Notamacropus eugenii: one gene and its partner. The protein of the gene in region 2 binds, or shares a complex with, the protein of the main gene of each other region. Links are inferred from orthologs where the notes say so. Each region holds a gene or a part of one and is shown on either strand. Other genes may lie near its edges.

The links.
Region 1: the proteins of MED1 (region 2) and RXRA are in contact, whole or in part, in a crystal structure (PDB 1XDK), measured with the Mus musculus proteins. The link is inferred for Notamacropus eugenii from reciprocal best matches to the Homo sapiens genes MED1 and RXRA. Residues at the interface, in NP_001073587.1 of Mus musculus: Asn641, His642, Pro643, Met644, Leu645, Met646, Leu648, Leu649, Lys650, Asp651; in NP_035435.1 of Mus musculus: Phe282, Val285, Lys289, Phe294, Leu299, Gln302, Val303, Leu306, Arg307, Thr454, Phe455, Glu458, Met459, Glu461, Ala462, Pro463.

Annotation. Positions count from the first base shown.
Region 1 is NC_092872.1:486,964,470-486,975,705, reverse strand, and holds the start of RXRA (retinoic acid receptor RXR-alpha), read right to left. Parts: upstream 4,549-11,236; 5' UTR 4,303-4,548; coding exon 4,224-4,302; intron 1-4,223. UniProt on the Homo sapiens protein: Receptor for retinoic acid that acts as a transcription factor.
Region 2 is NC_092873.1:354,983,692-354,994,096, forward strand, and holds the start of MED1 (mediator of RNA polymerase II transcription subunit 1), read right to left. Parts: upstream 4,185-10,405; 5' UTR 3,919-4,184; coding exon 3,894-3,918; intron 1-3,893. UniProt on the Homo sapiens protein: Component of the Mediator complex, a coactivator involved in the regulated transcription of nearly all RNA polymerase II-dependent genes.

The sequences.
Region 1 (11,236 bases), on a different chromosome or scaffold from region 2:
ATTCTGAGTGGTCAGTAGCTAACCAGAGCGGTAGGGCATTAGCACTTTGGTCCCTGACTTGAAGGCTGTAGAAAAGAGTTGAGACAGGGTGCTCTAGTGAAGCCAGTCCACTCTGCCCTCAATATGACCTTTTCTCAATAACATTTACATTTTAAGAGGCTTTTTAGAGACCTGGTGCCTTAGTTCAAATTGTGGAAATTTTAGGTTTTCCAGCAGACCTGGAGAGTGAAATATTTGGAAGTAAGGGGCCTTTCAGCACCCCTCAAATGGCACCTCTTCGGGAGATACTGACTCAGCCTAAGTATCTGGCCAGCCCAGCCCAAATGACATAATGGCTGGGGCAAGGAAGAGATGGAGATTCTTCTGAATTGGGACCCAATTCCGATCAATCTTTTGATTCTGCAAGTGTCTGGCCAGAAAACTATGGGTTGATGTTCTGTCCAATTCCCCTCTTCACCACCCCTGAGCTGGCCCCTGCACTGGGTGGAGAAGGCGGGCGGGGGGGCGGACAAGAAGGCACCTTTGCGGGGAGGGGCAGTGAAGCATTGAGCTGACATCTTCTTTTGAGGGTAGAGTCTGAATCCAGAAGAGTCTCACTTTTCTAGGAGGTAAAGCTGGATTTCAGGATATAAAGGAAATGAACTTCACTCATGAACCTCCCCTTTAATCTCCCCTCTCTAGTGGGGCTTCAGATAACTATGAGCATCTCCTTTTTCTTTCCTGCAGCCAGGAAATTTAGAATTTGATTCATGTCCCTCAGGCCAGGCTAGAAGGTCTTTTCTTCTTTCTGACCTCACAAAGATATTGAGACACAGTGTCTTCTGGCAGAAGGAGCATAGGTCTCCAATCTCTGGGTTCTTTTTCTTCCTTGCTTTGGGACCATGGCCACATAGCTTACTCTTTCTAGATCTCTTTTTTCCCAATTGTAAAATGGGGGATCTTTGTGAACTCATGGAACCACACCTTCAAGCTATTTGGAAATTTTCAGGGGCAAAGCACTCCAGGAATTTGAGGCATGACAATTCTCCTTGTTATGAGGATGCCATCACAGATGTTCACAGGACACAGCCTGTAGAGGGCCTTCAGATCACTCCCCCACCTCCTCCAAGGCTCCTATTAAAGTGCAGCCTTCAGAGGACAAATAGAGAGCTGCCTTGGGGCCCACCCTGAGAAGAAACACAGAGTTTAGTGAAATTGGGGTTGGGAAGCAATGAAGGGAGGAGGATACAGCCAAAGAATCAGTTTCCAAATCACAGTAAGAATGGGAAGGGATTTCTTGAGTGACGACATATATCCGACCCCTGCAGGTCCCAGTTCTGACTCACTAGATCTCACATTTCCTCTTAATGATCTCCTGGCTCCAGACACATAGGGTAAAGTTATTTCTTTGGGACCCAAGTTCATTGCCCAAGCTCGCACAGAGGCTGTCAGGATCTATTTCCCTCCAACTCAAGAGCTTTTGACAGAAGAACAGAAAGGAGGGTGGGGCAGGACAGACGTGGCAGCTGCCCATACTGAAGCAAAAGAAGAATGGGGGTAGGGGAATGGAATTGAAAGAAATAACAACGGACTGACTGATGACTTTCCCCATCTAGGCTAAGAGGCTCTCCCCAGGAAATCAGACCATGGAGCAGTGTCCCAGGCCTCGGGCTTTGTTACATCTGACAAAATTTCCCTCTTCCCTACTCTCCCTAGCTGTGGGACTTTGAAACATGCCCTTTCCAAGTAAAACACACCTACCCCTACCTTTTTATACCTCATTCCCTGGTAAACCCTTATCCGCTGACAGAGCCAAAGTATTCATGCATTTTCATTGAGGTTGGCAATCAAGAACTGCAAACAGCTGCCTTAAGAGTGTTTGAGTTTTCATTTACCTATATGTAGATATAGAAACGATGCTGCTCATTGCAAAGTATCTGTCTTGGCGCTTGGAAAGAACTGATTTGGGCACATCCTGTAACATAGCTGTTGATTGTAAGACCTTCAGTTGATGGTGGTAGGTGGAGCTAAGCCAGGTGTGAAGAACCTGCAGCCTCAAGGCCACATGTGGCTCTCTAGGTTCTCAAGGGTAGCCCTTTGACTAAATCCAAGTTGGAGGGCCACTCTTGAGGACGTAGAGGGCCACATGTGGTCTTGAGGCCGCAGGTTCCCAGCCCCTGAGTAGGCCCATTGATCTGGAGTTGCTACCTCCCTCTTAATGTGCTATCCTGACAATCTCTGCTTACTTCCCTCACCAATTCAATCATCTGGGTGATTCTTTTGAACTTTGTTCATATGTGCCACCACAATCCCCCTTCACATGATCTGCCTTTTGCCATCCTGACAATAAATAATAAGAAAGAAGCAACCACCTTCCAACCTGGGGTCTACCCCCTAACCTGATGCCTACATGGAGCTTATGGCTCTCCAGGTTTACCCACCAAATGCCCCAGGGTACCATTGCAAGGAAAATGCATGATCTCCCATAAAATAACCTTTCCTCACACCCCAGACAGGACAGAACTGGTATTGGAATTGGATTCTATAAGATCTGAGAGAAGCCTGATTGCAGCTGGTACTGAATACTCCCTGGCCAAGTGCAGTGAACCACTGTAAAACACTGATAGTGGAGGTAAGAGCCAACACCTATGTTGGGCCAGAGTGCCAAGTCTGGGGTCAGGAAGCCCCAAGTTCAAATCCAACTTTAGACACTTAGGAGCTGTGTGACCTTGGACAAGTCACTTAATCTTAAACTTAAGTCTACCTCAGTTTCCTCAACTATAAAACAGGGATAATAACAGCACCTATTTCCCAGGGTTCTTTTCAGGAACAAATGAGATAATATTTATAAAGAGATTAGCACAGTGCCTGTAAGTGCTATATAAATGCTATATCATCATCATCATCATTGCTTTTTAAAATTATCCATCTATCCACTATTCAAGTACAATTTCACCAGCAGCATTGATAAGCCTGAGATATCTAATAAAGGACTTCCAATGAGCCTGGGGAATGCCTTACATTGAATCTTGAGACCACTTGGACTTGGATGTCAATTTCAACTTGGATTGTGAGGGTTGACTCATCCTGTTTTCTTTTGGCACAATCCTGGCTTCCTCTTCCTCAGATAAAAGGCAAAAGGAGGTTTAGCAGCATTTGGTGACATCAAACTGTGGTTACCCAAGCACATTCTGATGAGTTTAGTGTGAATAAATTAAAAACAGACGGATGGACTCTGCAATCCAGACATGGGTTTTAAAAATCAAGGGGAAATGTGTTTGGAGCAAAATACATTAGGTCTGGGGACCAAGTTCTCCTGCAAATTTCCCTTCCAAGTCCCTCCAGGCCCCAAGCCTCATGTTAGGATTTGGTAGTCTTGAGGAGGGAGAAACAAAGCTAGAGAAAGCACGGACCTGAATGTCTTGCTGGTTCTGCGGAGCAATACTCCAAATTGGATGTGTCATGTTTGAAGATATTGCTGAAGAGCTAGCTCTCTTAGGCCAATTTTGGTCCTTCTGTACCTAGTCATACCTTGTGCGTCTTGGAATGCTTTTAATCCTAAGGGACTCTGACTTCTGTAGCCTGGACCACAGGAGCAGTCTTTCCTGGCTCTGCTACCACCTGGAGGTTGTTTAGATACTATTTCATTGCCTTGTTTTACCAGTTAGAAAAATGGGTTCACCAATGGACTATGGTACTGCCTAATGCGAAGCAAATATTTACCTACAAATACAAAACTTTAGGGGAAAAGTATAAAAGTGCAAAGCTCCTAGAGCCTACCAAAAAATTGTTTGTAAATTACAGTCCCATCTAGGGAGTATCATCCTGGCCCTGAATATGCTCTGCCCCACTGTTCTTCTTCCCTAAATTTCCCCCTTCCTGTTCCTATTCCCATTGCCCTAAGTTTTCATTTAGGAATCCTAATAATAACATAGGATCATAGATTTAGATCCAGAAGGAAACTCAGAGGTCATGGAATTCAACCCTCTCATTTTACAGAAGATCAAATTAAGTCCCAAGGACAGTCAAATGACTTCCCCAAAGATACAGTTACAAGGGGCTGGTCTGGGATTTGAACCCAGTTCTTCTGACTCTTGTGCCATTGCTATTTTATCTAGGTATCATTCATAGGAGACAGATGCATGGAAAACCTTCAGGTTTGTAGTCCATGTGCATCCTGCTTTGCAGCACTGATGGAGTTGTCCATTTGAAAGCCAGTAAAAGCAGAAAAACCCAAAACTTACCCAGTCCAAAGCCAAGACAAAAGCTATCCATATTTTCCTTCAGGAGCACCTGGTCCAGGTAGGGGCGAACAGAAGGCATGAGAAGGTCCCTTGACTTGGAGTTGGGTGAAGGGGAGGGGGAAGAGAGGAGGAAAGGAAAGAGGAGGGATTATTTGGGTGGGGGGGAGGGGGAAATGATCTTCAGAAAGTCAGGAGAAAGGCAAGGGAACAAAATCATTCCACTGATTTGTTTAAGTCTCCAAAGATGTTGTTTTAACAAGGAGAGAGGAGAGGGAAAGGGGGAAAAAATGAAGACATGACAGAGAGATTTAGCTGGGATTTTGTTCCGAAATTCCCAATTCCCAGATCACATGTTGGGCACTCTCTCCTCCCCTGAACTGAAGCCCAGTCCAGTCCAACCAGACTCCTGTTCCAAAAGGAGACAGGGGAGGTAGGAGGAGAGAAATTTTAAAGGAAAATTACAGCAATTGAGTTAGAAAGCCCAAGTTTCTCCTTAAATATCATTCATGAGACACTACCATAGTAACTTAAATAAACAGACATAAAATAGGTATATAAAAAGTCCACTGAAATGAATTTTAAATGAGTAATTCTCAGGCATTGGAAAGATGGGAACACACCCTCTCTGTACTTGGGCTAAAACCAGGAGTCACAACCTAGTGGAAAACCATCTGTAAGTAGTACCAGTTAAACCAGGACATCTCTGGACTCTTCTTAGAAAATGGGGACTCTTGATTTTGCTGGGGGAGAGGAACATGGGCTGCCATTTTGTCTAAATTAGTGTGTATAATCTGGAGTCTTCAACAACCTTCCTTCCAAGGACTTTTTTTTTTTTTCAGAGATCATCTCCCTGTAGAACCCCATTGAGGGGGAAATCCAACGCCTCCATTTGACAAATGATCAAAATGAAGAAAAGCGAGACTAATAGTTGCTCCTCAGGTCATGCAGCAAGCCAGAGGCAATACTGAAACCTCAATCCAGATCTCCCAGATCTGTTAGTGCAGCACATCTATGTGCCCGGAAAAGGATGAAATCTTCCCTGCTGCTCCTCACTCTCCCTATGCTTGTGAACAATGCAAGGTTAGAGCTCAAAGGGAATTTAGAATACAGAACATAGAATGTCACAGCTCAGAGGGACTTTAGAAGATACATTGTCAGAGCTGGAAGAGTCCTTAGAGACCTACTTCAACATCTTCACTTTACAGATGAGGGAACTGAGGTTCAGAGTAGTGAATTCCCTAAAATCATAGTGATTTAGGGACCAAGCTAGAGCTAAGACCTGATTCCAAGTACATTGAATATCCTAGTTTGAAGAAATCTGAAAAGAAGGATGAAACCAGAGAGGAAAGAATGAAGAATCATTTTGGATAAGGGGGAGAATATAATTCCCCTCAATATCAAACACATATATGGCCAAATAAATGGTAGAATAACAGAAAACCATTTGCTATCTGGGGCAGTTAGGTGGCCCAGTGGATAGAATGCCAAGCCTGGAGTCAGGAAGACTCATCTTTCTGAGTTCAAATCTGATCTCAGACATTTACTAGCTGTGTGACCCTTAGCAAGTCACTTAATCCTGTTTGCCTTAGTTTCCTCATCTGTAAAATGAGCTGCAGAAGAAAATGGCAAATGACTCAAGTACTTCTGCCAAGAAGTACTACACATGGGGTCATGAAGAGTTGGACATGACTGAAAAATGACTGAACAGCAGCAACACTTTATTATCTGGCTTGGGCTGAAGCTGTATGGCGTATGTTGGTGGGGTTTAGAGTGGGGTATAAAAGGAGCATCTTCCATATGTATGCATGTATTTGTATTTATGCACAGATGTGTATGTGTGTACATGTGTGTATATGTCTACAAATGCATGTGTGTATATATGTATATGTATGTGTGTGTGTGCATTTTCTTTTGTCTTGGAAGGAATGGGTGAAATTTTTAATTGTGCTGCTGCCAACTCCAAGAAGAACTTTACTTGGTGGAAATTCTTCCAGGCCAATAATGAGCCAATTCTCTTGGGGCCTGCTTGAGAAATGGAGTTCCCTGCCATTTGGCTCCAAGGGGAACCCTGTAAGTAGCCAATATGGAAACCGACTGTATTGCATGAAAGAGACAGCCATTTTATGAGTCTAGCAACCAAATTAGTCCAATTAAGTAGCAATGCTTGAGGAGAGGGAGGGCTACCTCATTCACACCCCACCCTTCTCCTCTGGCATAGAAAGCTGTGGAAAACACAGTAACCTAAGGATGTGTAGCAAGAGAGAGGAGAGACATGTCCAAGAGGAGCAGAGAAAAGATAAATGAGGCAGCTGCTTCTCCTGTTGCTTCTCCAAATCCTAAGATTCCTTCAAAGTTCTGTTCCTCCAGGAAGCAAAGAGACAGAGTTGATGTGGTTGGGAAAAAGACTAGCCTAGCCTCAGAATGAAAAAATCTGGGTTTCATACCCTGGCTTTGGTACTTACTAGTTGTGGCGAGCTACTTTGCCTCTATTCTGTGCCTTTACTTCTTCATCTGTAAAATGGTAAGAGTAAGAATGCTCCCGCTATTGACCTTTTTGGGTTGTTGTGAGGACAGTGTTTTATAAACCTTAGAGTGCTGAAGGAGCATGAATTGTTATTCATTCTATTTAAATATTAAGTATTAATAATAATATGAATGGTAATTCATATTATTCAAGGGATGAATGCTCAAAGAGTACACAGATTTCACAGGGTCCATAAACTTGGGTGGGGAAAAATACATCTTTATTTTCAATGAACTCCAAAATTTGGAATTTTCTTGAATTATAAACTTTAAAAAAAATATTCTGAGAAGGGATGCATAGGTTTCACCAGAATGCCAGAAGAGGTCATAACACACAAAGGGTTAAGAATCTGTGGAGTAGAGGATTCCTTTTAGGTACAAATCCCCTGATCATCTGATCTCAGGGGACAATAGCAGCAGTCCTGGCTCACTCAGGGGAGCCACTATTTGTCAGTTCAAATGGTAAGTACTTCGTGAAGCCTCCCTTAATCTCCATATCCCCCTCCCTCGACACCAGGAGTACTCTTCAAAAACACAGTTGGAAAGAAGGAAATAAGTATTTATTAAGGGATATCACTGTGTTAAGTGCTTTATAAATATCATCTCATTTGATCCTTACAACAACTTTGATATTATCCTCATTTTGTAGTTGAGGAAATTGAGGTTAACAGATGTAAGTGACTTATTCAGGATCACACTGTCAGTAAGTATCTAAGGCCAGATTTGAACTCAGGTTTTCCTGACTCCAGGCCTATCATGCTATGTGTGGTGCTACCTAGCTACCTCTAGCTCTGACCCAAAAGTTGTTCACTCAAATCTGACTCTTCATGACCCCATTTGGGGTTTTCTTGGCAAACACACTGGAGTGGCTTTCCATTTCCTTCTCCAGCTCATTTTTACAGATGAGGAAACTGAGGCAAACAGGGTTAAGTGACTCACCCAGGGTCACATAGCTAGTAAGTATCTGAGGCTGGATTTGAACTCATGAAGATGAGTCTTCCTAATTCCAAATCTGATGCTCTATCCACTGCGCCACCTAGCTGCCCTGGCTTCCTATTACCTCTTGGATAAAACAAATTCCTCAGGATTAAAAACACATCACAATCTGACTCCAGTTTACCTTTCCAGGATTATTACACATTATTCTCTTTGACTCTGTGGTCTGACACAATTGGTCACATGCAGCATTCTCTATGTCTTCGTGCCTTTGTTTCTTCCTCATTGCCATCTCTCCTTCAAAGCTCTCTTCTTCAGGAGACCACTACTGAATCTACCAGTCACAGAAATTACTTGGTATGTATTTTGTATTTATTTATATATGTCCATGTTGCTTCCCCTGAAGGAACATAAGCTGCTGGAGGGGGAGGCATTATTTCTTTTTTGTCTGCTTCCTCTGGTACATGGTAAGCACTTGACTCATTGACCAATTTGATCATTTTACAACAAAGATTTGAAATACTGAAGCCCACAGATAGGGATGAGTCACCTGAAGCCCCCACTCCCAAGACTAGGCACTGTGAAGCCCTTTTCCTAGAAGGATATATCAACAGGTTAACATGTACTTCAGAGAGACAAGGGATTTAGAGAGTATGGGTACAAATGAATCAATGAGTGCTGTAAGAAAAAATTTCACATGCAATTTCTGTGAGGTTTCCTGGTTTGTCCTCTAGTACTTATTATCTTTATTTATATATGTATATCAGACTGTTTCACACCCCAGTTATTTGTTTCTCACTCTTATCTCTCATAATAGACTAGGAGTTCCTTCAGGGTAAGGACCATATCTTATCCATCTTTATATATCCTTCAGTACCTAGTATCATCCCTCCCTAGGTCTTTATCAATGGGTGAACCATAGAAATGGAAAATGTTAGAGCTTGAAGAGAATTAGATCCTCTAGACTAACACCTTCATTTTATCACAGGGGGAAACTGAGTCCCATAAAGTGGTCCAAAGGCTTCAAGTATGTGGTGAAGTTAGGGTGGGAAGGAAGACTCTTCAGTCAAGCTTGGGAAACTCTGCCTGGGTCTCACCATTCCAGCTTAAGCCTAGTGGGAGATGGTGCCCAGCAATCATGAGCCAGCAGAGGCTGGAGATGGTGTCTTGGGAGTCTGAGACTGGTGCATAGCTAAAGCTGGGCACTAATCAGAAGAAATTAGGAAGAGATATTAGGAGGTAAGAGGTCTCAGCTTTCAGAGGCTTTCTTTATCCTAGCTCTTCTGCCAGATGATTGTAGGAAGGGAATCTAAGGTTCAAGGAAAATGGTGATTTTTCTGAGATATGGCAACATTGCAAGCCTTTGGAGGGAGTCGGGGAAGGAGTTGGTTGCAGGTGTCTTCTTTGAGCACTGAAGTATGACTTGTACTCTTAGTGGGTAGTGGCTACAAATATGTCCATAGCATGAACCAGGGACCTACCTCACTGCACAAATAGCTCTGTCCTGGATGCTCGCAGATGCCACATGAGAGGAGGACCCTACAGCTACCAACACTCAGGTAGCTTAAACTCACCTTCAAAGTAATAAATAGAATACAATGCAATGAGATGCAATGTGTAGATGAGCAGGAATTGAGAGAGTTTCCAGCTAAATTCCAGGGTATAATAAAGATGCAGTGGGAGACAGAGATTAGAGTAGGAGACAATGTTTGCCTTTTGATTTGAAAATCTCATTGATCCAGGTTAGTTGTAAATCCATCAGAGCTCTGTACCAGGAATAGAGTGGAATGGGTTCCCAAAATAGGGAATGGGATCCAGAACTGTAACTGGCATTTTTTGTACTTGTGGCAAATGGTATGAAATGTACCCTCAAATCAGCTTTTAAAATTGAGAAGGGAGAGATTCACTGTCCTGTGTGAGCAAGACAAAGACCCCAAAATACCTTGAGGCAACTATTGGGGAGGGTGGACTGGAGAGAACAGATTGTCCAGGGGTGCTTACCTGTGGTGGAGCTGTTGGGGGAGGGAAGAGGAGATGTGCTGATGCCATTCGGTAACTTACATCATTCTTGAGAACTAGGCATTGAGTGTTTGTTTCTATATTTCTGAAGGAGTAAAAGTTCTGTAAATGTTATGCCTGGGGCAAGGTACCAGTCACCCCGGTCTATTAAGAGTTCTGCTAGCTTCTGCCTTACTAGCATTCTTCAAGCAAAGGTTGGATGCCCACTTGTCAGGTAGGTCATAGAAGGGATTCTTGTTCAGACATAGATTTAGACTAGATGGCTTTTAAGGTACCTCCCAACTCTGAAATTTGCTGATTCTTTGACAAGGTGAATAGTTGAAGAAGTATGATGTTTTATGTCTCCCTCTCCCCATCCCCAAAAAACTTGCAAAAACTCAGTTTGACTTTCTGTTCTAGCAGAAGGAGAAAGGCCACAGGCACAAAATTCATGAGCAGTAGTCAGAGAACCCTAGTAGAATGGAAGTTATTGGAAGGCAAGAGCTGTTTCTTTTTCTTTGTATCCTCAGCACCTGGAACAGTGCCTTACACATTTTTTTTAGCAACTTAAACTCATCCTTTGTCCTACCCCCTCAGTATGATAAAGTGACCTCTATGCTATCAATGGTTGATAATGATTCAATATGGTATCCGTTGCATTATATGTATACACATATTATATATATACATTTTGTCTTCCCTGGTAGAATGCAAGCTCCTTAAGAACAGGAATTGCTTTATTCTTTGCCTGGCATGTAGTGGGTGCTTAATAAATGCTTATTGATTGATTGACCTAATACGTAGGAAAAGTAACCTAACAACCTAAGAGCTACATAGTTAATTTCCAAATCTAACTTTCATCAATGTTGTATTTACCCTGTAGGTGCTGATTTATAGTCATGCTGTCTCTTCCATTAAAATGTAAGTTCTTTGGGGGGCAAGAGGGAGGGAGAAAGGAAGGAAGAGAGGGAGGGAGAGAGGGAGGAAGAAAAGGAATCATATATTTCCAGAAGGAAGGAAGGAAAGGAAGGAATAAAAGGAAAAAAGAAAGGTGAGAAGGAAAGGAAGAAAGGAATGGGGAAAGGACGGAGAAAGGGAGGAGAGAAAAACCATTTGTTTTCTGAAGAAAAGAAGGAAGGAAGGAAGAAAAAAGAGACAGGAGGAAAGAGAGAAGAAAAGGAAAGGAGGAAAGGAAGGAAGGAGGAAGGAAAAAAGAGCCATCTATTTCCTGAAGGAAGAAAAGAAGTAAGGGAAAGAAGGAAAAGAGGGAAGGAAAAAAGAGAAGGAAAAAGAATCATCAATTTCTGAAAGAAGGAAAGAAAGAGAGGAAAGAAGGAAAGGAGAGGAAAAGAGAGGAAGGGAGAAAAGGAATAGCTTATTTCCCCAAATCTTAGATGATGGAGCAAATACCAAAAGGTAGATATAATCCCATGTCCTTGTTGTGGATCTACTCTTCCCCAGCATGCTATGATCTTCATCTCTGCCAATTCTAACTCATCCTTTGTCCCACTCCCTCAGCAAGATGGTTGATAATTGCTTAATATACTATCCCTGAC
Region 2 (10,405 bases):
ATACTGCCTCCCCCACAGCTCCTATTCCACCTGGATGCTGGCTACCCTGATCTGTACATCTCACCAAGATCTCAAATTCAACATGTGCAAAACTGAATTCATCATTTCTCCCCTCTTCCCAAACCTCCAACTCTCCCTAACTTCTCTATTTCTACTGACATCAACACCTTTTTCTTCTAGTATGCCAGACTGGTGTCATCTTTGATTTTTCTCTTTCCCTCATCCCCTATATATCCAGTTAGCTGACAAGTCATGTCATTTCTATCTCCACAATCTCTCTCATCAGGGTACTTTTCTCTTCCCTGACCACAGCCAAAACTCTGTTCACCTAAATGATCAAAACTGGATCCTAACTTCTTGCTTCCAAACTATTTCATGTCCAATCTAGTCTCCACACTAACCTATTAATTTTCCTAACACACCTCTATGATCATATTATGCCTTGTATTTAAAAGACTTCAGTGGCCTTCCAAATAAAATGTGAACTACAATAACATAAAAAAATGATACTAAAAAAAAGGTGAATGATATGTACTTGTAATGATCAATTTTATCCCCAGAGAAGAGACAAATATAGATATCTCCATCCTTTTGTTAGGGGGACTATTGCTGTGAAAGCTATATATGCAATTGGATTTGGTGTGTGTTTTTATTTAACTGTTTTTTGTTACAAGGGAGGACCCAGTAGGTGGCAGAATAAAGAGAATATATATTCAGTAATATATTACAAATGCAAAACCAAAAAAAAAATCAATAAACATTTTTTTAAATTAAGCATAAATTCCTGACCCTGACGTTAAAGAACTTTCACAACCTAGCATTGTTTACTTGTCCATTGTCATCTGATGTATGAGTCATTTGGCTTATCCTGTTATCTATCTTAGCCCAAACAAGTGACAGGAGAACACTGTCTTCTCTTGTTCTTCAAGATCTTCAATTCTTAATTCTCAAATTGGTATCCCAGATACTCTAAATATTTAGGAAATATTTAGGTAGGTACCTGTGCTATCTACTTCACAAAGTTACTGAAAGAAAAGTGCCTTCCTAAGTATTAAAAAGCTTCAATAATGTTAGCTCATACTGTCTAGGCATGATTTTTCACAAATGTCATATTCCAATCAAACTGAACTACTTTCTATCTCCCATTCTGCATCCTCCACCATGCACTCTCCTGTTTTCATGCTTTAGTCAATGCCCTATACTTGGAATTAAGTTGCCCCAGCATCAGTCTTAAGGAACTCAGCTGCCAGCTCTCATATGGCACTTTTTCTGCTCTTGCTCACTCTCTCTCTCTCTCCCTCTCTACTTCTGAGTGAAAGTGAACACCCCTTCAAATTTCTTGTCATACTTTGCCTGGGTCTCTCACATTTATTATCAAAATGTCCAAAATGGAACTCATTATCTTCTTCCCTAACAAATCCATCCCTCCTTCTCCCAGTTTCCCTATTTCTTTCAAGAGCACCATAATTCCTCTATAACAATCAATTTCCCAAACTTGGCATCATCCTTGATTTTGCTCCCCATATTAAGTCAGCTACTACAACTTGTCAACTTTGCTTCCATTTTTCACATATGTCCTCTTCTCTCAACTTATTCTAAATTAGCTCCTTGAGGATATTGGGTGTTTCAATTTTGCCTTTAAATCCCCAGTATTTAACAGTGTCTCACACAGAGTACGCACTTAATAAATGCCTGCTGGTTGACAGATTTAGGCTCCCACTTTCTCTAATCTGGACTACTGCAATAGCCTAACTATTCTTCTTATTTTCCATTTCTTCTCTCCAATCCATCCTCTCTACACAGCTACCAAATTAACAATCCAAAAGCACAGATCTGATCATGTCACGTTCTTGTTCAAGAAAGTTCAATGGCTCCCTATTGTCTCTAGGACATTTAGTGTCCTTCACTCTGCCTTCAACATATTTTACCAGACTGTCACAATCCTTTTCCCACATTGTACAGGATGTTGACATTCCTCCCTATGTATGGAATGTTGCCCTTTCTTAATGCTGCTTCTTGGAAGCTCTAGCTATTATATTTTTGCATTTATTTGTCTGTGTTTGTGTGTGCACGTGTGCATATGTTTGCATATATGTGTATATACAGCTTCTCCCAGTAGAATAACATTCATTTTGTCTCTATATAAAAAGTACACAACACATTGCCTTGATAAATATTATGTTCTTGATGAGTTTTTGTGGAACTGAATCTTACCAGACCTGGTACCAGAGGTGTACACTTGGCCTTTCTCCTCATTAAATTGTAAATGGAGTCTGTGTCATCTCTCAAGAAGCACTGAGAAATCATGGATGGAGTGCTGGATTTCAGTAAAACATATGCTCAAATCCAGCCTCAGGTACTAGCTATATAAAGGCAACCAAGTCACTTAACCTCTTTGAGTCTCAGTTTTCTCATCTGCAAAGGGACAGGAACCGGACCAGTGATCTCACTAGTAGAGGAAACTCCCAGATAGGAAAACTCCCTCCAGCAAATCAAGTTAGTACACCTTCTCTGCAACTTGTGGATGCCTGGAGTACTAAGAGATGAAGTGATTTTCTCAGGGTCACAGAGTTAGCATGTGTAACAGACAGGACTTGAGTCCAGGTCTTTCCAGTTTTGAGGCCAGCTTTCTATTCTCTAGACCATATGTTTCTTTAGAAGGAAGATAATAATAGCATCTACATTAGATGGTTTTAAGAAGGATATGCTATTATTAGATGGTTTTGTTTTGAGAGAATGTACCTTGTCATTTGATCCAATAAGTATTTATAGCATCACAGTGCTCAATGCTTAGGAAGACCAAATGAAACCAAGACCAAACAGAAACAACCTATACTCTCAAGGAGCTTATTTTCTACTATAGAGAAACAACACAAGCAAGTATAAAACAATACAAAGTAACAGGGGAAAGCACTGACAACTAGAGGAATAAGGAATATGGGGGTGGGCAGCAAAAAGACAAGTAAGAGCAGGAATGTCATCCGGATATTTGTTGGAAAGTATCCACTGTATCAAAACAAAGTCTAAAGACCATAGACAGCTAGGTGTCATGGTGGATAAAACACTGAATCCGGAGTCAGGAAGACCTGAGTAAGTTCAAATTCTGTGCACTAGCTGGATGACCCTGAGAAAGTCAATCTCCCTCAGCTTCAGTTTCCTCTTCTGTAAAATGGAGATAATAACAGGACCTACCTCCCAGAAACGTTGTTAGGGTTAAGCACGAGAAAACCTACGTACGCAAGTTCTGCAAACATCACTACACTCTATCAATGCCGGTGCAGTGCACAGGGTGGAAGGACCTAAGCCTTGGCCATTACTAGATCTCCGGGACTCTAAGGAAACCACGGGAAGTGTCTCCCTCAGTTTTCCAGTCGGAGAAGTGGGAATCACCACTTACCTCCCAGGGCTGTGGTGAAGCGAAAATGAGATGAAGCTAGCCAAGTGCTCCGCAAGCTCTAAAGCGCTATTATTCGTGCTACTTAATAGACTTTTTTCAAAAAAAAGCAGCGAACCCCACGCTCGATCGGAGGGCTGCTCGTGCTACAAGCTAGCCTCTGGATCGGAACAGCAGTTATTCGTGGGTTTGTGGCACGTCTGTTATTTCTTGAACATCCATGATGCCCTTCTGCTTCTCCTTTACAAAGAGTTTACTCGGGCTTGCAGGTAGAGGATCCTCGAGGCCACCTAGGTCCAGCCACTCCCCTGACGACCCCCCGCCAGGACGTCAGCAGCAACGCGGACCGCCTCTCCTCCCGTTTCCGGCCCGCCGCCTACAGCAGGGGACGGCAAGGGCTCTGCCAACCTGAGAGGGGTCCACCCGCTTCCAGCAGGACCCCAAACCTGTGTCTCCGCGCCCGACCGGGCCCGTCCTCCCCTCGGCCCCAAGCACTAACCTTCTGCCTCTCCCTGAGCCTTCATCCCGGAGGCGGGGAAGGAGGGCCTTCGCCCGCCACACAACGGGAGACACCCTTCCCCACCCACCAGCGGGGGGCCGAGCCGCTTCAGGCTTCCCGGGGCGCTGGGCTCCGGGGCCGCCCGCTCCGCCCCCCGCCTCCGGGAGGCTCAGTCCGAAGCGCCCGGCGGCAAAAGTTGAAGGGTGCCCGCGGCCGCCGCCATCTTCCCAACGGACCCTCCCCAAGGCTCGCGAGAGCAGCGGGGAGCCGGCGCACGGGCGTGCGTACATACGTATGCGTGCCTGGTGCAGAAGAAACACGCAAACAAGGCTCGCGGAAAGGGTCTCGCGAGATTTCGCCGACTTCCTCTTCCTCTTTCTTAGGGTTTGTGAGTTGCAGGTTCTCTCCAGTGGCTTTCACAGTTGGGAAAAACGCCTAGGGCTGACAATACTATGAGTTTGAAGAAGTAAGCGCTTGCAGAAATCGTTTTTCCAGTTTTGGCAACCAGAGAGTTTGCCGTCTAAGGCTTTTTGTTCGTAGCTGAGGAATCCTCTCATCGCTGTCATCCCAGCTCCTAGGTGTTTAGGGCTTGGAGGTGGCCAAGAGTTCCTCGTGCTTCATAAAACGTGCGGCGACCTTGCGAGGCAGAGAGCATGGCCGCTGTGGTGATCTCCACTTTACAGATAAGCGAACTCGGTGCTAGAGAGGTCTGGGGGGACTGTGGAGATCATTTACGCCAACCCCTTGGCTTTGCAAAAAAGAAACCAAAAAACACCAAAACTGAAATCTAGAGCGATTCGCCAGCAACATTAAACCCATACCAAGCGCCGGACACTGCTGGCGGTGGAGGGTACCAGTGCAAGAGTGACTTAGCCTTTGTCCTCAGGGAACTTAAATTCTAGTAATGTTTGACTTGCCTGAGGTCATGCAGATAGTAAAGAGCAAAGCTGGGCTTTGAAAAGTGGCTGTAACTCCCGATTACTGCTTTTTCACTTTCCACCATTCGTGGTTGTGTCCAAAGGTCATGGGTATAGTTAGTAGTAAAACCAGAATTTGAATGCAAATCTTATGGCTAGTCCAGGGCAGTTTTTATTACATGAAGAAACCACCCCTATTTTTCATGATCACCCACAAGCCTTAGGTTAAGAATAACCACTTTTCTCTCCAGCTTCATTGTTCTGATATAAAAATATATTAGAATAAGACAGCTGTTTCCATTAAGAATGCATTAGTCCGTGCGTCAATACCCTGTGGAGAAGTGCTTTTTAAGCAATATTAGAGCCAAGAGAAAATCAAGAAAGAGATTGGGCCACTCTGCAGGCAGTTGGGAGGGTAATGATGCATATCAAAAAACTCAATTCTTTTTTTCTGTTTTCCTTCCTAAGGAAATAAATCTGACAGGGAAGTTTCATGATTTTTTCCTTAGGCAAAGAAACTTACCAGCCTGGAGATGATTTTTCTTGGTGAGAAAAAAAAAAGCAACAATAAATAAATAAATTTTTAAAAAGAAAAAACAATAGTTGAATATGAAAGCCATTATCATTAGACTTTGGAATATTAAGCAAAAATAGTTGAAAGGAAAGAAACTCAAGTGAGAATGTAAGAAACTATCTGGCCTCGAATCGCTAGGCTTGAAAAAACTGCCTCTCGGAGTAGTGAAAAAATTTAAGGGATATGATTGCTGAGCGATGTTTGAAAAATCATGGAAGGAAGGAATGTTGCCAAAGGCCTTCTGATGAGCAAATGTCCTGGCTTTCAAACAGAGAAAAAAATTAGATTCCTTATACTGTGGGCCAATAAGCTTGACTTTCATTTCTGACAAAATTTTAAAACACTCTATAAAGGGTTAGCTTATGAACCCTTTAGGAAGGAAACAACGATCACCATGTACTATCAGACAAGATTGGGCTGTATGTGTTAGTTTTATTTTGCTGCTTTTTTCCCGTTATTCTTTGTTAAAAGGGTTATACTTTGTTACATGGGACAGGGTAGAAAAAGGGGACAGTTGTGATCAAGTATGAATGCAATCCAAAAACAAGATATCAATAAAAATTTTAAGAAAAAATTTTATATTAAATTAACTTCACTTGGTTTTTTTTGGTCAAGGTTTATAGATCAAGAAAGTGACATAAAAATAGCATATAAGGATTTCATCAAGACATTTGACAAAAGTGTTTTATAATAATACGCTTGTGAACAAGATGGAAAGATGTGGGCTACCTGATAGTACAGTTAGGAAGGTTTCAGGAACTGGTTAAACAGCTGCTCCCTCTTCCCCCAAATAGTTATTAATAGAATGATGTCAACCTGAAGGGACTCTAGTTAATGCCACCAGGCTTTCATCCTAGAGCTTTTACTTCTCAACATTTTTATTAGTTGCATGACAGACAGATGGCATACTTGTAAAATTGAAAATGTCACAAAGCTGAAAAGGATAGCAAATATGCTGAGTGACAGAATTGGGATCCCAGAAAATCTTGACAGGCTAGAGCAATGAGCAGAATCTAGGAAAAGAAAATAATCTGACAAAGATAAGGACTGGACTTAGAATTTCATTGGCATGAGGAGCCCCTCCTCTACCAGTATGTATGGGCACCTTCCCTGCAATGTGCAGTTGTGAAGAGTTGCCAAGAGTAATAAGAGGCTAAAGGACTTGTCATGAGTCACATAGCCAGTATATATCAGAGACAAGACACGAACCCAGACCTTCATGGTTTTAGTTCACCCTTCTTATCCACTATACTGTACTGCCTCACCATGCCAAATCTAATAGGATAAAATTTAATGTGATAAATGCAGAGTCCTTCACTCAAATTCAACAGACCAACTCTTCCATTACAGTCTATAGAAAACATGACTGACTAAATTTAGGACCTTTTAGTGCACTGTAAGCCCAAGATAAATCTCATCATGACAGCAGCTAAAAAAGCAAATATGATATATTGCATAATGGAAGTATAGTGTCCAAATTCAACCATAGTATGCCTGGCAGGGCCTATCTGTAATATTGCAACTGGTTCTGTGCAACATGTTTTAGGAAGGTCACAGACAGGAATTGCATACCAGCATAGTGCTGAAGATGCTAAGAAGATAGGAGGTAATGTCATCTGGAGATGGTTAGCCTGGAGAAGACTTTGTAGGAGGTAGAGAGGACAAAAGAAAATATTTGAAGAGGGATTGTACTTGGTCTTTTTTGGTCTTAGAAAACAAATTTTAAAAATTGTATAAAAGTAATAGAGGCAGATTTTAGACAACTATTCAAAAGTAGAATGGGTGTGGCAGCTAGGTAGCATAAAGGATAGAGCATCAGCCCTGGAATCAGGAGGATCTGAGTTCAAATCAGAATCTCAGACACTAGCTGTGTGACCCTGGGTAAGTCACTTAATGCCAATTACCTGAAAAAACGTGAAATGGATTGCTTCAGTTAGTAGTGAGCTCACAGCCTTTGAGAGTTGTAAAGCACCTCAGTGGCTAACTGGTCCAACTCATACAAAAAGAATCCGTACTCTTAATATAGCAGACAAAGACCTCCAAGGAAGAAGAGCCTACAACCTCTCAAAGCAGTTCTTTCTGGTATTGGATTCATCAAATTGTTAGAAAATTTTTCCTGACATTTCTACCCATTGTTCTTATTTGGAGGGGAGGTACTGTGTAATGAGTATAATCTCTCCTCCTCAAGATGGTCCTTCAGATTTTTTAAGGTAGCATTCCAGTTCTCATGTACCCTTTCACCCCTACCCCATTCTCCTTTATCCTTTGTTGAACATGTCCAATTCCTTTAGCCCATCTTCATTTGTCCCTTTCCATTTCTGTTGTCCTCCACTTTGCAATTTATATTGATATCTTTCATAAATCATGGTACTACAGTATTTAAGATGAGGTCTGATAAGGGCAGAGGACTGTGATATTATCCCCTCCCTGTTCTTGGAAGCTATAATACAGTGACTAGGTATATAGTAAAACTATTCCTAAGTGCTTTATGGATCTATGTCCCTCTTAATGTAGCCTTCTGGGAACATTAGTGCTAAGATAAATAATGGAGGATATGGGCATGCTAATTGCCATTTAAGCATGAAACCAAAAGAAAATACTCTAACATTAAAAAGGTGTTGTCGGTAACTGATTTTACTCCTATTTCTTCATAAAAATATTAGCAACTCCTATCTTCCCCATGAAAAACTTGTAAAAATTTATAAATGATCTAATTTTCTCAAAATTACAAAATAATGTTAGACATCTACACCAATTTGCATGAAGAAGCTAGGATAATATATGTAAAAACTATGATCTTATATTTGGAAAAAAATTGTAAATGTCCAGAGAATAAATAGAAGCTTGTTGCTTAAAATTTTTCCAGTTTGCTCAGGATCACACAGCCCATCTTCTGTCTGAGGCAGAACTTGAATCCAGCTCTCAAGCTTCAATGCCAGCGCTCTAGGCATGATAACACTCTGCCTCTTTAGTAGATGAAAGGAGGTAAATGTTCCATAATGGATATTTAATAAAATAATTGTTTATCTGAATTCGGGAGCTCTGAGTGATTCTTTGCATCAGACATAGAAGCCCAGCTGGAATTCACACAAAATGACATCCAGCTACTTGTATCTTCCTTCCCAAAACTACCTTTTATTTATTTTTCATACATTTTGTGTATACTTCGCCTAGAGTAATGTGCCAATTATTTGGGACTAGCAATTATCTGCATGTGTTTTCATTTTTGTGAAAGCTATGACTGAGCATGCAACTCTGCTGATACTAGTGACTCAGAATATCTGACCTAAACCAGATGAAACCAAATTAAGCTGGTGTCTTCACCTTGATTTCATCTTCTGTAACTGCTGAGTTTTAATTATGTGATTTTAAAGAGTGAATGTTTCTCCAAGGAAACATACAAATGTCTTACAGGGCACACTTCAGTGACTAACAGAGGTATTGCAGGAGGTGTTGGTGTGAAGTTAAGCATTTTAAGAATCATTCAAACCCAAAGTAAAACAGAATCTGTCTCACTGAAGCCCTAGGAAATGTTAAAAAAAAAAATACAACACCAGGAACTGACAAACTATTGTTGCAAAATAACTTAATTAATCCTCAGAAAAAAAAAAAGCAGACCTTAAGAGTAAGTAACCTGGAAGAAAGCTAAAGTTAGAGGACATTGAGATGACCAGTAAAAGAAGAAGCTGCTAACCATTTGTTAAGTAGAAAAAATTCTTGTCATGGACAAGACAGTACAAAGACTGGAGTGCAAAAGATTGAAAAGAGGTCATTTTTCTTGATAGATAAAGCATTTATTAAACACTACTGGCTAGGCACTGTGTTAAATGCTGGGACTAAGTAAAAGAAAAGCAATCCCTCCCCTCAAAGAGGTCACATACTAATAAGAGAAGACAATCCAGAAAAGGAATCTGAAAAGGGAAGAGGGGGAGGTTCCTTGCCTGAGGTCAAGGTGGAAAAGTTGCCTGGAGAGTTGTGGACTAATCCTTATTGACTGATGTTATTTGTCCTTCATTCCATGAATGAAGACCGCCATGACTCTGGGAGGTGATGCCACGCTATGCAAGTGAATTGAATTTAAGTAAGGGAGGGCTGTGCAAAGTCATCAGCCTCACTTTCTCCTCAGGAGCCATCTGGGTTCAGTGGCCAGATATAGATCAGGATAACTGCAGATGGCCCAAGTTGATGTGGGAGACCTTGACCTTTTCAAGTTAGGGTTTTTAACGTGTATCAGTTTAACTGAGGCAAACCCATTCGGTGATTAAAGCTTAATAAGAATTTTTATAAATATATGAATTTATATAAATAAAATATTTATTTTTATAATAAAATATTTTACATATAAATAAAATAAAATATTATACATATATAAATTTATATAAATAAAAAGAATCTTTATCTTACCTAGCCAAAAACCAAAAATTAAATAAATAAATAAAGATTGATCTGGCAGAGGAAGATCCTCAGAGTTTCTTTCCAAAATAGGAACAATTGCTATTTATGTTCATTCTGTGCCAACTGGAACCCCAAAAAATGACCAAGTAGGGCTTGGCCTGGGACTTATTTTTGACCAGTACATGACTGCCTGTATGATTTGGAATTAAAGCTTTTCTTCCAGGGGAAAAAAATAAGTTAGTACATCCTCAAATGGAAATGGGAGACTGGGAGATGCACGGTTTGGTGCCTCAGAGGGCACTAGGGGAAGTAGGGAAGTAGTACTAAGATTCCTGGAGGAAAATCAATTTTTCAAGTTCAGTGCTATTCCAAAATCATTGTCAGTATGGGCCCAGGTAAGCCTATAAAAGCTGAGCATCCAGTGCTAAAATATTCATCCCAAAAAAATTATTTGGGAGGATTTGTTTTTTAATGAGGCCTGGAACTTCTAGGGCTAGAGGAGCTGGAAATTTTGTGCCATTGAAGAAGGGATGAACGGATATCCTGAGAAGCAGAACTGTTTCCAAGTTACACAAATTCCCAAATGGAGACAGAATGAATACTACAGCACAGTCTTACTCCATGCC